3 linked regions of the Callithrix jacchus genome follow. The protein of the gene in region 1 interacts with the protein of each later gene in a pairwise test. Links are inferred from orthologs where the notes say so. Each region holds a gene or a part of one and is shown in the gene's direction. Other genes may lie near its edges.

The links.
Region 2: the proteins of PDCD4 (region 1) and EIF4A2 interact in binary tests that used the Homo sapiens proteins (3 or more experiments, as listed by UniProt). The two-hybrid records come from large-scale screens. The link is inferred for Callithrix jacchus from reciprocal best matches to the Homo sapiens genes PDCD4 and EIF4A2.
Region 3: the proteins of PDCD4 (region 1) and EIF4A3 interact in binary tests that used the Homo sapiens proteins (3 or more experiments, as listed by UniProt). The two-hybrid records come from large-scale screens. The link is inferred for Callithrix jacchus from reciprocal best matches to the Homo sapiens genes PDCD4 and EIF4A3.

Annotation. Positions count from the first base shown.
Region 1 is NC_133513.1:103,837,995-103,842,631, forward strand, and holds part of PDCD4 (programmed cell death protein 4), read left to right. Parts: intron 1-270; coding exon 271-378; intron 379-588; coding exon 589-699; intron 700-2,088; coding exon 2,089-2,228; intron 2,229-4,637. UniProt on the Homo sapiens protein: Inhibits translation initiation and cap-dependent translation. May excert its function by hindering the interaction between EIF4A1 and EIF4G. Inhibits the helicase activity of EIF4A. Modulates the activation of JUN kinase.
Region 2 is NC_133516.1:15,754,689-15,760,772, forward strand, and holds the end of EIF4A2 (eukaryotic initiation factor 4A-II), read left to right. Parts: intron 1-55; coding exon 56-224; intron 225-333; coding exon 334-443; intron 444-650; coding exon 651-794; intron 795-823; exon of another isoform or gene 824-1,001; intron 1,002-1,315; coding exon 1,316-1,453; intron 1,454-1,493; exon of another isoform or gene 1,494-1,626; intron 1,627-1,689; coding exon 1,690-1,779; intron 1,780-1,804; exon of another isoform or gene 1,805-1,942; intron 1,943-2,001; coding exon 2,002-2,081; intron 2,082-2,507; exon of another isoform or gene 2,508-2,618; intron 2,619-3,328; coding exon 3,329-3,473; 3' UTR 3,474-4,106; downstream 4,107-6,084. Other genes in the region: RFC4 (replication factor C subunit 4), read right to left, coding at 4,164-4,259, 4,334-4,447, 4,523-4,603, 5,720-5,845. UniProt on the Homo sapiens protein: ATP-dependent RNA helicase which is a subunit of the eIF4F complex involved in cap recognition and is required for mRNA binding to ribosome.
Region 3 is NC_133506.1:135,876,838-135,881,932, reverse strand, and holds the end of EIF4A3 (eukaryotic initiation factor 4A-III), read left to right. Parts: intron 1-168; coding exon 169-310; intron 311-996; coding exon 997-1,135; intron 1,136-1,753; coding exon 1,754-1,869; intron 1,870-2,862; coding exon 2,863-2,970; intron 2,971-3,068; coding exon 3,069-3,196; intron 3,197-3,667; coding exon 3,668-3,684; 3' UTR 3,685-3,940; downstream 3,941-5,095. UniProt on the Homo sapiens protein: ATP-dependent RNA helicase. Involved in pre-mRNA splicing as component of the spliceosome. Core component of the splicing-dependent multiprotein exon junction complex (EJC) deposited at splice junctions on mRNAs.

The DNA of each region.
Region 1 (4,637 bases):
ACCCAGGATGCATGCATTATAAACCTACTTGTAGATTCAGACACACTGAAGCATCGCATTTGAATCATAATTATGAACCATTTAAAAATTGGAGATTTATTTTTTAATTATGAAAAATTCTGTTAATAGTACCATGTCCAGTCTGTGTATTATTAGCTGTTTGTTACCTACTATTTCATTATATTGGGATGAGAGCAGATAATCCTGTAGGCAAGCACACTTTTTTAAAAGTTAGGAATTCTAACACATCTCAACTTTTAAATCTAATAGATTGATATGCTGCTGAAAGAATATTTACTCTCTGGAGATATATCTGAAGCTGAACATTGCCTTAAGGAACTGGAAGTACCTCATTTTCACCATGAGCTTGTATATGAAGTAAGATTACCTTGCCATATCTAAAAGAATTAAGTATTTCATGTTGTACCACAGTGATTTATGCTTTTTTAAATAATATACATCTTTTTAATGTCAAAGGAGGAATTGGTTTTTAAATTTTTATGATTACAAAAGGCATCTGGTACATTTTAGGAGCAGTTTTGTCTATGAATAACCAAAAATTCACTCATTCGTTCATTCAATTTTTAGGCTATTATAATGGTTTTAGAGTCAACTGGAGAAAGTACATTTAAGATGATTTTGGATTTATTAAAGTCCCTTTGGATGTCTTCTACCATTACTGTAGACCAAATGAAAAGAGTAAGTATAACATTATTTTTGAATAATTTTTAGGATTATGCTTTCAATATATGATTGAATAAAGATTATTAATTGTCAATGAAATTTTCTTTAGGTATATTTAGTGTTATTATGCCTATATGTTTTGTGTTTTCTTAATAGTAATGTTTGAGGTTTGAATCTTTTGCAACCATTTCTTGGAAATTAACACTGCAGTGGGTTTTCTACCTACTTTAACAAATGTGATTATGTACTCTACCTCAAAGGTTCAGTTTCTAAGATGTGACAAGTTCTATTTTATATCTAGAGAGAAACATGAACTTTTAACACATTATAAAGTACTTTTTTCCTATTTAAAATTTTATGTATTGTTGTTTAAATGTTGGTCAGGTTTTTACTTTTTTTGCCTTGTATTTTTTTTAAAGATACTAAATGTATATAGAGAAGTAGATGGCAAAGGAGTTTGCTCAGTATCTGATGTCTGCCTGCAGCTCTTTTGAGAGAACAGTATTTAACATTTTTTTCGCTATGTAACCAATTTTACTTATTATATTTTTAATTTTAGATATCAGAGGGGTATATGTGCAGGTTTGTTAGATGGGTATATTGTGTGATGCTGAGGTTTGGGCTTCTAATTAATGATCCTGTCCCTCAGGTAGCAAACATAGTACCTGATAGGTAGTTTTCAACTCTTGTCCTCTTTCCCTGTCCCCGCTTTTGAAATTCCCAATGTTTATTGCTTCCATCTTCATGTCTCTGTGTACCCAGTGTTTAGCTCCCACTTATAAGTGAGAACATGCATTACTTGGTTTTATGTTTATGATAATTTTCTTAGGGTAATGGCCTGCAGCTGCATTCACGTTGCTGCACAGTACATGATTTCATTCTTTTTTATGGCTGGGTAGCATTCCATGGGCGTATATGTACCACATTTTGTCTAATCTGCCATTGATGGGCACTTGAGTTGACTCCATGTCTTTGCTCTTGTGAATAGTACCCAATAAATATACAAATGTAGGTGTCATTCTGGTAGAATGATTTCTTTTCCTTTGGGTATACACCCAGTAATGGGATTGTTGGGTTGAATGGCAATTCTGTCTTGAGTTCTTTGAGAAATCTCCGAACCATTTTCTACAGGGGCTGCATTCCCACCAACAGTGTATAAGCCTTCTGTTTTCTCTACAACTTGCCAATGTCTGTTATTTCCTGACTTTAATAAAGAGAACAGTTTTAAAGTAAAATAGTGTAACAAATCTACTACTTTCTGTGCTTCTCGGGATTCAAATCTGGCTTCAGTTTAACCATATGAACATTTGGCCTTAAATGTAGATTGATGACATAGTGATGGGTTGTGTTTTATGACACGTATTATATGGGCTAACAGTTCTTTGTGTAATTTCATTGTTGTAGGGTTATGAGAGAATTTACAATGAAATTCCGGACATTAATCTGGATGTCCCACATTCATACTCTGTACTGGAGCGGTTTGTAGAAGAATGTTTTCAAGTTGGAATAATTTCCAAACAACTCAGAGATCTTTGTCCTTCAAGGTACTTTATTTAAATACTACTTTCTCAATATTAAATAGTGGATGAGGTCTTTGGGAAGGTTAAGGGCTAAGATAGTTTATCATTCCAGCTCTTTAAGAAAAATATCTTCCCTTAAGTTACTGAAGAGCGTGACTCGTGTTTGTTTTGAGTTCATGGAAAAACAAGGGCGAAGCTTGTTTTAGCCCCCTTGTAAATCTGTACAGGACTGCCTCATGAAGTCCCAGTTCATTTGAAGGAAACTAATTTTGTGGAGCAGTTCCTTTGTTACAAGTAGTTTCAGTGTTATTTTAGAGTAGGTATTATCAGTAATAAGATGAGAAAATTGAGGCTTAGGAAGGTATAATGTACTTTTTCTGAGGTCACATGGCTAGTATGTGGTAAAAGCCAAGTATGAATCCAGGACTTTTCTGGCTTTAAAGATCTAGGCTGTTATCTGTACTGTATGTGGCTTCCTTGACTTCTTTACAGGTTGGAGAATTGAGGCTAATTGGATGTTCTCACTGGAAAGTGGGTCTATGTGTGGATGTTCTCACTGCAAAGTGTGTGGGTGTGTGGGGATGTTCTCACTGGAAAGTGTATGTGTGGGTGTATGTGGGGATGTTCTCACTGGAAAGTGTATATGTGGGTGTATGTGGGGATGTTCTCACTGGAAAGTGGGTGTGTGGTTGTGTGTGGGGATGTTCTCACTGGAAAGTGTATGTGTGGGTGTATGTGGGGATGTTCTCACTGGAAAGTGGGTGTGTGGTTGTGTGTGGGGATGTTCTCACTGGAAAGTGTATGTGTGGGTGTATGTGGGGATGTTCTCACTGGAAAGTGTATGTGTGGGTGTATGTGGGGATGTTCTCACTGGAAAGTGGGTGTGTGGTTGTGTGTGGGGATGTTCTCACTGGAAAGTGTATGTGTGGGTGTATGTGGGGATGTTCTCACTGGAAAGTGTATATGTGGGTGTATGTGGGGATGTTCTCACTGGAAAGTGGGTGTGTGGTTGTGTGTGGGGATGTTCTCACTGGAAAGTGTATGTGTGGGTGTATGTGGGGATGTTCTCACTGGAAAGTGGGTGTGTGGGTGTGTGTGGGGATGTTCTCACTGGAAAGTGTATATGTGGGTGTATGTGGGGATGTTCTCACTGGAAAGTGGGTGTGTGGTTGTGTGTGGGGATGTTCTCACTGGAAAGTGTATATGTGGGTGTATGTGGGGATGTTCTCACTGGAAAGTGTATGTGTGGGTGTATGTGGGGATGTTCTCACTGGAAAGTGTATGTGTGGGTGTATGTGGGGATGTTCTCACTGGAAAGTGTATATGTGGGTGTATGTGGGGATGTTCTCACTGGAAAGTGTATGTGTGGGTGTATGTGGGGATGTTCTCACTGGAAAGTGTATGTGTGGGTGTATGTGGGGATGTTCTCACTGGAAAGTGTATGTGTGGGTGTATGTGGGGATGTTCTCACTGGAAAGTGGGTGTGTGGTTGTGTGTGGGGATGTTCTCACTGGAAAGTGTATATGTGGGTGTATGTGGGGATGTTCTCACTGGAAAGTGTATGTGTGGGTGTATGTGGGGATGTTCTCACTGGAAAGTGTATGTGTGGGTGTATGTGGGGATGTTCTCACTGGAAAGTGTATGTGTGGGTGTATGTGGGGATGTTCTCACTGGAAAGTGGGTGTGTGGTTGTGTGTGGGGATGTTCTCACTGGAAAGTGTGTGGCCAGTACCCTGGCATTGGCCTTTTGAAAGTTTTTCAGCCTCTGTTTCAAAGTCTGTGTGGCTTTATTCTCAAGGGTCACATGAGGAGATAACTAAACTTTCTGTTTATACATACCATACTGCTTTGACTTTTGTCCTTTATCTTTTAGCCTATTTGGGTGAGGTGCATATTTGTGTGTGGTTTTGCATGCTTGTGCATACTGGCCTGCAGTCAGAGAGTAAGGGCTAATGTTGCCCAAGTTCTATTTCCCACTTACTGTTTTAGGCCACTGTCCAGCTGTTCCTTCTGGGCTGTTGCTACTACATGTAGCTGGAGTGTGGGCTTATATATTATAGAGCAGGGCTTCTAAATGGAGCATAGGCTATAATTCTGATTTGTTTTTCCCACATTCAAGTTACCGTTTTTCTATAGCTGATACAAGATTTTTTTAAATTGTCAAACATGGATATTTTGATAGATTCCACAGCTCCAGTTTGCATAATTCTGAATTATGTTAGTGTTTCCTATTTGGCTCACTGTTAAGTTTACAGATAATAATAATGTAGAAATAAATATTAAACTTCTAAATAAAATAAAATGTTTGCTTTAGTTTGACATCAACTTTTTAAATGTGATTATTTGGATAGTGCTAAAAAAAACAAACTCAGATTTGACATTGATGTTTTTATGCTTTTATAGAGTAGGGAATCCTTTCCAAAGGAATTAGAG
Region 2 (6,084 bases), on another chromosome or scaffold:
AATTAGTCATTGACCCTGGAATTCTGCAGGATAATAATTAAGCCTTGGTTTTTAGATCCAAAAGGTAATTCTGGCACTTGGAGACTATATGGGAGCAACTTGCCATGCCTGCATTGGTGGAACAAATGTTCGAAATGAAATGCAAAAACTGCAGGCTGAAGCACCACATATTGTTGTTGGTACCCCTGGGAGAGTGTTTGATATGTTAAACAGAAGATACCTTTGTAAGTATTGTCTTTAAATGTATGCTTTTTTTTTTTAACTGTTACATAGTTGAAAAGTCGTACTATCACCCAGTAGATCTAGAGATGACATATGGCCTTTTTCTAACAGCTCCAAAATGGATCAAAATGTTTGTTTTGGATGAAGCAGATGAAATGTTGAGTCGTGGGTTTAAGGATCAAATCTATGAGATTTTCCAAAAACTAAATACAAGTATTCAGGTAAGGATTACTTCACCCCTCTCTTAAAGAGATGTGGTTTAATGCAGGTGCTGTTACAAATACATCTGGCATGTTTTATTGTCGTTCCCCCTGCTTAAAGCACTTGATGCATAACTATTTCTGTCTTAACTACATACCATAATAAGACAATCGTCCTTTGGGTATTACTGTGTAAGCTGTGCTTCAACATAATTGTCTCTCTTTAAGGTTGTGTTGCTTTCTGCCACAATGCCAACTGATGTGTTGGAAGTGACCAAAAAATTCATGAGAGATCCAATTCGAATTCTGGTGAAAAAGGAAGAATTGACCCTTGAAGGAATCAAACAGTTTTATATTAATGTTGAGAGAGAGGTAACTGTCTGATTGTTAGATGTTATTTTGCCTTCTTGTATAAGCACTGTGCTAAAATTGCAGATACTAGGACTGTATCTTGGTTTTTGCAATAATGCTAGCAGAGTACACACAAGAAGAAAAGTAACAGCACTAGATTGTAAAGACTCGGGTGGACCTCTTTCTTAATGTCCAGTGTCCTTTGTCTTAAGATTTGGTGCAATAGCTCATTAGACCTACAGAATAAATTTAATTTCTAAAATTTCTGTATTACAAGACTGGTTAATTTTGGTATTTTTGGTGGAGACAGGGTATCACTATCTTAGCCAGGGTGGTCTGGAACTTCCTGGGCTGAAGTGATCCGCCTGCTTTCCAAAGTGCTGGGAGTACAGGTATAAGCTACCATACCTGCACCAGAGTGAATTCTTTTTTTTTTAAACACTGGGGACAGGGGCATCTGGATTTGAACTAGGGCCAGAATGAATTTTTAACTGAAGAAAGTTGGAAACTAAATGACTGTTAATTTTCTCTTCTAAACATAGGAATGGAAGTTGGATACACTTTGTGACTTGTATGAGACACTGACCATTACACAGGCTGTTATTTTTCTCAATACAAGGCGCAAGGTGGACTGGCTGACTGAGAAAATGCATGCCAGAGACTTCACAGTTTCTGCTCTGGTAAGAGGTTTTCTAAATTAAAATGTCTAGATTTCCACTAAAGCAGGATTTAGACTACAATATAGCTGTTAAGTGCTGTGTTGTCGTTCCCCCTGCTTAAAATAACGTTGTTTCTTAACTATACCTGTCTGCTATTCTCCTTGTAGCAGCCAGGGACGCTTGGTCTCATACATGTTAATTAGAATTAAATACTGACCTGACTGGTGATTCTTGAATTAAGGTTTATTAATTTGCAGCATGGTGACATGGACCAGAAGGAGAGAGATGTTATCATGAGGGAATTCCGATCAGGGTCAAGCCGTGTTCTGATAACTACTGACTTGTTGGTAAGTCTCAGTGCTTCTTAAAAATCTACCAAAAGTTAACTTTTTGGGGGGAAGGTTTATTAAGTAACCTTTACCAGGTTGGGCTATTGGAAGAATAAATGACCACACTCCACAGTGGACTGTACCACTTATTATAGTTCGCTACTATTCTGTGGCCTACATTATTAGGTAGGTGTTCAGTTTTTTGGATTATAATTTTTAACATATGCCATTGTGTTTCAGGCTCGCGGGATTGATGTGCAACAAGTGTCTTTGGTTATAAATTATGATCTCCCTACCAATCGTGAAAACTATATTCACAGGTGAGAAGCCAGCATCTTGGCTGTATTGGAAAAAACTTTGTTTTTCTAATGTGGTTTGTATGAAAGAGTACATGTCAAATCAAGGAATAGATTGAGTAAAGTCAATAGTGTTCAGTAAGATGTAATTAAATTTGTACTAGGGAAGGCCGAAGAGAACAAAGTGGGAAAACTTGTAAACATTGCCCCGATTGTGGACATAGGTTTTTTACTCCCCACAGTTGTTGGTCTTAGTTTATGCTTGAGCTTTTAGTGATGTTCTTGTTTTCATGTGCTTTTTCTTGGTGATTTTTTTATAGTTGGGATTTTCGTGGTGTCGCCTGATAGCAGTTTGAGTGAACCCTGGTTTAGTTATAGTGGCTTTATCCCTAAATAAATTGAATTGTACTTTGTTATATGATGTAAAAAAAGACTTTTTAAAAAATACAGGAGTCGATAGCAGCAGTTGATGACGAGATGGCACTCAGAAACGGCGTTGACGTAATTTAGGACGTGGAATCATAAGCGAAACAGCACACTGTTTGAATAAAGAGCGAGTCGGTATTTATATTTGTTTTTCTTTTGTCATGATTATTTGATTACTTTAAGTTGTTCCAGCTAAGGCATTTTATTAGTATTTCTATTAGGGAACCTTTCCTATTAGGTGGTTTGTATTGTCTGGTTTCTAACATGGAAGGTAGCTATTTTGGAGGTTAAACACGTTTTGAGTAACTTGAGTTACAACGTGTGAAACTGAGCAAAAAAGCAGTGATTAAGTTTGGGTTACCATACCAAGTAATTGTTTTCCCACTGGAAAAAAGTAAGTTTTAGAATATAGTTAACCTTTGCAGCATTTGTTTACAGTTTACAGTTCCAGAGGTGCGTCGAAATGGATTACATAACTGCTCTTTGTTTTATTCCTGGTGTTTACATCTGTCCCAGGCTGACACCTGCTCTTGGCTGGCCCACTTTGGTATGGGCTTTAATTTCACTACCCCAAACACAATACTGTCATCTGCTTTGTAATAATGCTCAAGATGCCTGATAAAATCTCATTTTGCAGCCAGACAAGCCTTGAATCCTTTTGGCACTAACTGCAAAGGAAGATTTTTTTCTCTAGATATTAGCAGCTAGTGCTCCAGTTAGAAGCACGAACTATAACCTTGATAAGTAAACAGCAGCTGATGGTTAACAAGTGGATCGTCATGTTCAGTAGTTTATAATTACATGAGAAGTAACATTCTGACTGTGGTTTCTTTTTTCTTACACAGAATTGGCAGAGGGGGTCGATTTGGGAGGAAAGGTGTGGCTATAAACTTTGTTACCGAAGAAGACAAGAGGATTCTTCGTGACATTGAGACTTTCTACAATACTACAGTGGAGGAGATGCCCATGAATGTGGCTGATCTTATTTAATTCCTGGGATGAGAGTTTTGGATGCAGTGCTCGCTGTTGCTGAATAGGCGATCACAACGTGCATTGTGCTTCTTTCTTTGGGAATATTTGAATCTTGTCTCAATGCTCATAACGGATCAGAAATACAGATTTTGATAGCAAAGCGACATTAGTCGTGAGCTCTTGTGAGGAAAGTCATTGGCTTTATCCTCTTTAGAGTTAGACTGTTGGGGTGGGTATAAAAGATGGGGTCTGTAAAATCTTTCTTTCTTAGAAATTTATTTCCTAGTTCTGTAGAAATGGTTGTATTAGATGTTCTCTATCATTTAATAATCTACTTGTGGACTAAAAGATATAAGTGCTGTATAAAATCAGCCAATTATGTTAAACTAGCATATCTGCCTTTATTGTGTTTGTCATTAGCCTGAGTAGAAAGGCCTTTAAAATTTTTTTTTAGAAAGCATTTGACTGCATTTTGTTTGGTATTGTATTTATTCAATAAAGTATTTAATTAGTGCTAAGTGTGAACTGGACCCTGTTGCTAAGCCCCAGCAAGCAATCATCCTAGGTAGGGTTTAATCCCCAGTTAAATTGCCATATTGCACATGTCTTAATGAAGTTTGAATGTTAAATAAATTGTATATTCACTTTAAAGGTGCTTTTTGGTCATTTTATTTTTATAACCTCTATTTGCAAACAAAGAAATTGACGCTAACAGTTCTGAGATAACTGCTGCATCACAGTTGCACAAAGGCTGATCAGTTGCAAATGTTCATCGGCACCATCTGCTAGGCATTTGTCAGCTTCCTGCAAGAAAAACTCAGAAATTAGCATCCTTCAAGTATAAATGTTTCATTGACATGTGCAAAGTACCTACTTACAGCAAGTTTTTCTGTAATAATGGACTTCTGTTTATCAGGTAAGTTGTTCTCTACAACCACATCGTGGAGTTGACTGACAAGCTGAGTTGCTGCATGACCCTCGTCTATTAAGTCCTATAATTAAAAAAAAGTGTTTTTGGTAATGATCACTTAATACTCCTTGCCCAAAAGTTAGTAAGCTGACTTTACCTTGACCACAGCTTCTAGTTTGTCGAAAGAGCCACTCTGACAAGCAGCAAGTACTCCATCGATTTTCTCAGCTGGTATTACCTAGGTAATTAAACGTTAAGACTAGACAGAATGCAAATTCACCTCCCTGACCTCAGTCCCTTCTGTTCCACACTTGGAATACCTAGCTAATGTCCTGTTAATGCTGCAAAGTTGGGAAGGCACTGGGAGAATGAAAAGGGAGGACCAGAGTAACTCCAGTTACTAAGCAACCAAGGTGATAACAGCTGTGTTTGTAAAGCCCTTTCATGGCTGCTTTGTGACATATGAAACAATCGGCCCAAGTGATTATTACAGCTTGTTCTGGTCAGTGGATGAACATTAAGTTTTCCCCCAGTGACTTTCTAAAATTTTCGCCAAGTAAAAATGCCACTAATAATGGTTTAAAAAGTCTGCAATATCTGAAAATTAGAGGATTACCATTAATCTTAAATTTTTAAGTAGTAGTGATTCTGAGGTGAGTTTTGACATGGGTATCCAAAGACAGATGGAGTGCTCCATTTTATTAATATCACTATAAATTGGATACGCCTTTTGTTTATATACAACTGGCAAAATAGTTTTCACCTATAAGAACAGGACATCTGCTAAAACTGATTCAACTGCCAAAGAAAAGCATCTCATAAAATCTAAAACTGAAGGCCAGGCATGGTGGCTCCCACCTCCTGCAATCCCAGCACTTTGGGAGGCCGAGGTGGGTTGCGGTGGGGGCAGATAGATCACCTGAGGTCAGGAGTTCAAGACCAACCTGGTCAACATGGTGAAATGCCATCTCTACTAAAAATAGAAAAATTAGCCAGATGTGGTGGCAGGTACCTGTAATCCCAGCTACTTGTGAGGTGGAGGTTGCAGTGAGCTGGTATTGTGTCACTGCAATCAAGTCTGGGCAATAGAGCAAGACTCCATCTCAAAAAAAAAAAAAAAAAAAAAAAAAATAGAGGAAATCAAAGTGTCCTTTTCCTTCCTGAAATGTCTATTACATGCCTGACAATCTGAAAAGTCAGCGTTATCTCCTCACCTGAAACACTGATACTCCCAGGCTGTTCCCTTATACCTAGTGCAGTACTTGGTACATGCTAAACATTCGGTATTAGCTGGATGAAAATTTCTTAAAAGTCACAAAAGCCAACTAAAATTCAGAATATCCAGTACTCTTACCCCAGCAATGTCTGTAATCACTTTCTCTGTGATCTCCTTTCCACCTGTTAATCGAGTAGCACTTTGAAGAAACGTAATGGCTTTTCTTAAGTCTCCTTCTGACACCTTAACAAGATAAGCTATTCCCTGAAGAGAAAAGAGTTGTTCTTAACCTATGAAGGTCAATTAAGGATTTATGACTTCAAAAATGTTTAATAGGGGACGAGTGCTGTGGCTCACGCCTGTAATCCCAGCACCTTGAAAGGCCTAGGGAGGCGGATCATGAGGTCAGGAGCTCCAGACCATCCTGGCTAACGCGGTGAAACCCCGTCTCTACTAAAAATACAAAAGATTAGCCCGGCGTGGTGGCACATGCCTGTAGTCTC
Region 3 (5,095 bases), on another chromosome or scaffold:
GGGACAGAGAATTTGCGGGTGTGTCCCGGTTCTGTAAAGATGAGCTTCCCTGTCAGCCGCACCTTATCACAACTCTGCCTCTAACCCAGTGGGAACACGTGGTGTGCACGTTCCATTTCTGGCTGTGCCATCCTAAACATCCCTCACCTGTCCTGCTCCCTGTCCCAGGTTTCAAAGAGCAGATTTACGACGTGTACAGGTACCTGCCTCCAGCCACACAGGTGGTGCTCATCAGTGCCACGCTGCCACACGAGATTCTGGAGATGACAAACAAGTTCATGACCGACCCAATCCGCATCTTGGTGAAACGGTAGGCGCCCCTTGTGTCAAGTGTTACTAAACACTGGCCCGCATGTATAAAGAGTTTTATGTCATAATTTCAAAAACCTTTTGTAGCCAGGGTCTTGCTGTATTGCTGAGGCTTGTATCAAAATCTGGGCCTCAGGCCACACTGCCGGAGGTAAAGGAATTTAAAGCATGCAAGTTCTTTTAAAATTTGTGTTTTGAAAAACCAAATACTATCTTGGGCAGTATAGGGAGACGCCATCTCTACAAATAATAAAAAGTTAGCCAGGTCTGGTGGTTCACGCCTGTAGTCGAAGCTACTCAGAAGGCTGAGGTGGGAGGATCAATTGAGGCCAGGAGGTTGAGGCTACAGTGAGCTGTGATCGTGCCACTGCACTTCAGCCAAGGCAACAGACCCTGTCTCAAACAAAACCAAACAGAAAACCAGTTTTTATAATACTCATTCTGCTTTGAACCAGTAATCCCAAATTTAAACATTGGGTGATGGTATTTACTTATCATGTTTTAGTTAGAATCATTTCACGTGGTGCACATTGTGAAATGTTGAGTAGGGCATAGAATGGAGGCAGGATGGGGGACAGGGCTGGGTCTGCGCCAGGTATCAGGGTGTGACCTTCTCCACCGGGGTCTCCCTAGAGCCTGGCCTGCCCTCAGTCCTAGTGTGTGACAGGATTTGTCTTTGTCCTTCAGTGATGAATTGACTCTGGAAGGCATCAAGCAGTTTTTCGTGGCAGTGGAGAGAGAAGAGTGGAAATTTGATACTCTGTGTGACCTTTATGACACACTGACCATCACTCAGGCGGTCATCTTCTGCAACACCAAAAGGAAGGTAAGACGCATTATACTGCCTCCAGGTGCTTGAAGGGAAATTGAAGACTGAGTCTCTTAATGACTTAGATCAAGCTTTTTCAGTAAAGGGCCAGTTTGTCCATATTTTAAGCTTCCAGGATACGTGGTCTCTTGGGAAAGCAGCTGTAGACAGTATGCAAACGGTCAGACGTGGCTGTGACCATTCAAACTTTATTTACAGAACGACGACAACGTCAGCCACCTGAAAGACGCAGATTTTGTTGGTTTAAGGTGGAACCCAGGCCTGAGTGGTTTCAGATCCCTAGGTGATGCTCATTTGGAGGCAGACCTGAGAACTCTCGGCCACTCTCCTGAGAAAGGAAAGGAGTTGGGCTACATTCTAACAAGATTGGAATTTAAACTTAAATTTCAAATGAGAATGAGCAGACCTGGCCCCTTGCCCCATAGAATCATCATGTGGAGAAAATGAAGAGGGTTTTGTAGGGGCACCCGAACATTTTCTGGGGAAAGGTGTTTTTTGCACATCCAGTTAAGATGATTCTGAGTTTTAGGAGCAGTTACCTATGAATATTGACACTGGTTCAGCAGATGGTGGAGGTAAAATCCTGAATGCACATCTGTGGTTTGGCATTTGTAGGTGGACTGGCTGACGGAGAAAATGAGAGAAGCCAACTTCACCGTGTCCTCGATGCATGGAGACATGCCCCAGAAAGAGCGGGAGTCCATCATGAAGGAGTTCCGGTCAGGCGCCAGGTCGGTCAGCTGTGCTCTGCGGCTCTGCTGCTCAGGGTTTGCTGGATTGTATGGCAGGCAGTTTATGTGCACTGCTTCCGGGCAGGGCCCAGGCCTGGGGAGATGATGTGCCTGCTCCAGAGCCGAGGCCCTGGGTCAGCAGAATGCCTTCCCGCTAACGGGGTGGTCTGCTCTGCTCCTGTAATACTGAGGGTGATCTGGTAACTAGCCTTAACCAGCCAGGTTGGTCACCTTGGTTACAAGGGCGTGTCTTCTCTTCCAAATAAGGAGTGGTTTTGTGTTCATTTTTCTGATTAGTTGAATTCCTTAGTGGTCAGATAGCGTGGATTGTGTGGTTTCAGTCATCAGAATTTGATTCAGACTTCCTTCTCGGCCCACCTTGTGGTCAGCTGAAGAAATGTGCTGTGTGTACCCAGGCTGGGGAACATTGGCACAATCTTGGTTCACTATAGCCTCTGCCTCCTGGTTTAATGTGATTCCCATGCCTCAGCCTGCCGAGTAGCCTGAAATGGCTAATTTTTTTTTGTACTTTTAGTAGAGACGGGGTTTCACCATGTTGGCCAGGCTCGTTTTGAACTGCTGACCTCAGCTGATCTGCCTGCGTTGGCCTCCCAAAGTGCTGGGGTTACAGGCATGAGCCACCATGCCTAACCGAACTTACTGTTCTTAATTTTTTGCTAGGCAGAAGTAAAATATTTTTCCCAAATCCTGGTTTAGGACCAAGTAAATAAGTTAAAAAGGTAGTATAGTAAAAGATGTCTTTTTTTTATCTCATGGAGCACATGTCCGAAGTAACTAGATGCAGCAACAGCCTCTCTGCACAGGGGTTTCTGGTGCTGTCCCTGAGGCTTCATGTTTGCAGACTGGTATGAGGGGTGACCTCATACATTCTGGATTTGTAGCCAGGCTTCTTAAAATGAGCAGTGGAAGCAAGGCCAGTCTTACACTTTCATGAGTAATTTGATCGCCTTAAACAGTCTTTCTTTTTTGCAGCCGAGTGCTCATTTCTACAGACGTCTGGGCCAGGGGGTTGGATGTCCCTCAGGTGTCTCTCATCATTAACTACGATCTGCCCAATAACAGAGAATTGTATATACACAGGTAGGGGTGCAAGTTTTCATTGGCTTCACTTCTGTTGACACATTTACTGCATCTTTATTGCTATATATACTAACTGTAATATTGTTCGATTCTTGAAGAATTGGGAGATCAGGTCGGTATGGCCGGAAGGGTGTGGCCATTAACTTTGTGAAGAATGACGACATTCGCATCCTCAGAGACATCGAGCAGTACTATTCCACTCAGATCGATGAGATGCCTATGAACGGTAGGAAGTCGTTCAGCGTTACCGTAATTGTAACTACAGAGGGAACCTGCCTACTTTCAGTTTGTAGCCCTTGAGTTGGTTTGTTTGAATTGGAGTTTCACACTGTCACCCAGGCTGGAGTGCAATGGCGCTATCTCAGCTCACTGCAACCTCTGCCTCTTGGTTTCAAGTGATTCTCCCACTTCAGCATTTTTAGCAGCTAGGATTACAGGCGCTGGCCACCACAGCCAGCTAATTTTTGTATTTTTAGAGACAGGGTTTCATCATGTTGGCCAGGCTGGTTTTGAACTCCTGGCCTCAAGTGATCTATCTGCCTTCCTCGGCCTCCTAATGTGTTTGGGATTACAGGCAGGAGCCACTATGCCTGGCCTGTCTTTTGTTTTGAGAAGTCTGTTGTGAAGTTTTAGCTAAATTGACGTTAGGAGTTTTCATTTTGTTTGTATTGTTCCTTATCTGTATCTTCACTTTCAGTTGCTGATCTGATCTGAAGCCGCTGATCTGATCTGAAGCCGCTGATCTGTGAGGATGAGTGGAGACTGCTCACCTGCTGTGTATTCCTGTTTGAAAGCATTTAGGTCCAGCTTCTGTTGAGTGGGGTTGATGTGAACTCTCTTCTCATAAATGGTCTGCCCTCTCCCTTCCTCCGAAGAAGATATGGGGATTCTGCTCTCTTTTCTTATTTACATGTAAATAATACATCGTTCTAAGTCTTTTTCATTAAAAATATAAAACTTTTCCCATAAACTCTGATTTGTATTTCTAAGATGCCACCAGCTTTTCTAGTAACTTACTCTATGGTCTTGGGCCATTTCACTCACTTTTCTAATCTGTTTTTTTCTTTGGGAGAGTTTCAGTGTTGATGGGTTTTGCTCTGGCGCCGGGCTGAAGTGCGGTGGCGCCATCGCAACTCACAGCAGCTGCAGCCTCCTGGGCTCAAGCGATCCTCTCACCTCAGCCTCCTGAGTAGCTGGGACTAACAGGTGTCTGCCAGCACACCTGGCTAAGGTTTAAATTTTTGGTAGAGACAGGGTCTCACTGTGCCGCCTAGGTTGGTCGGTCACTCATGGGTTTAAGCGATTGCTTCTTCCATCTTGGCCTTACAAAGTGCTGGTATCACAGGTGTGAGCCACCGTGCCAGACCTCATTTTTCTAATTTTTTTTTTTTTGAGAGCCAGGATCTCACTCACTCACCCAGGCAGGAGTATAGGGGCGGGATCATCACTCACCACAGTGTTAACAAACTAAAACATAATTGTCTCTTTAAATATTTACATTATTAAAGTATTTAAGTTATCTGCTCAAATATTTAAAGTAATCATCTGTAGCTTTACAGGCACACAGCACCACACCTGCCTGATTATTAATTTTTAAAATGTTTTTAGAGACAGGGTCTCCCTCTGTTGACCAGACTGGTCTTATGGTCTTAAACTCCTGACTTCAAGCAGTCGTCCTGCCTCAGCCTTGCAGAGTGCTGGGATAACACGCATGAGCCAACATCCCGGCTCTAATAATTTGAAATGGAAATTTTAAAACTAACTGGCCCCTCCCTTCCCGAAATTGGTTGGAATGAGAATCTATTTCAGGGTTAGGGTGAGCTTGGAAATGTTTTTAAATTTCATCAGGTTGATTTTACTTGAAGGCATCTGAAATTGCATAGTTGATGCATGGAACTTCCTTTAACTGAAGCTTCCTTTCTGTGGCTGGTAGACCAACTGCATTACCAGGAGCTGGTTAGAAATGGAGATGCTCGGCTGGGCATGGTGGCTCACTCCTGTAATCTCAGCACTTTGGGAGGCAAAGGTGAGTGGATCCTGGCCAAGATGGTGAAACCTCATCTCTACTAAAAACACACAAAAAATTAGCCGGGCATGGTGGCGGGCACCTGTAATCCCAGCTACT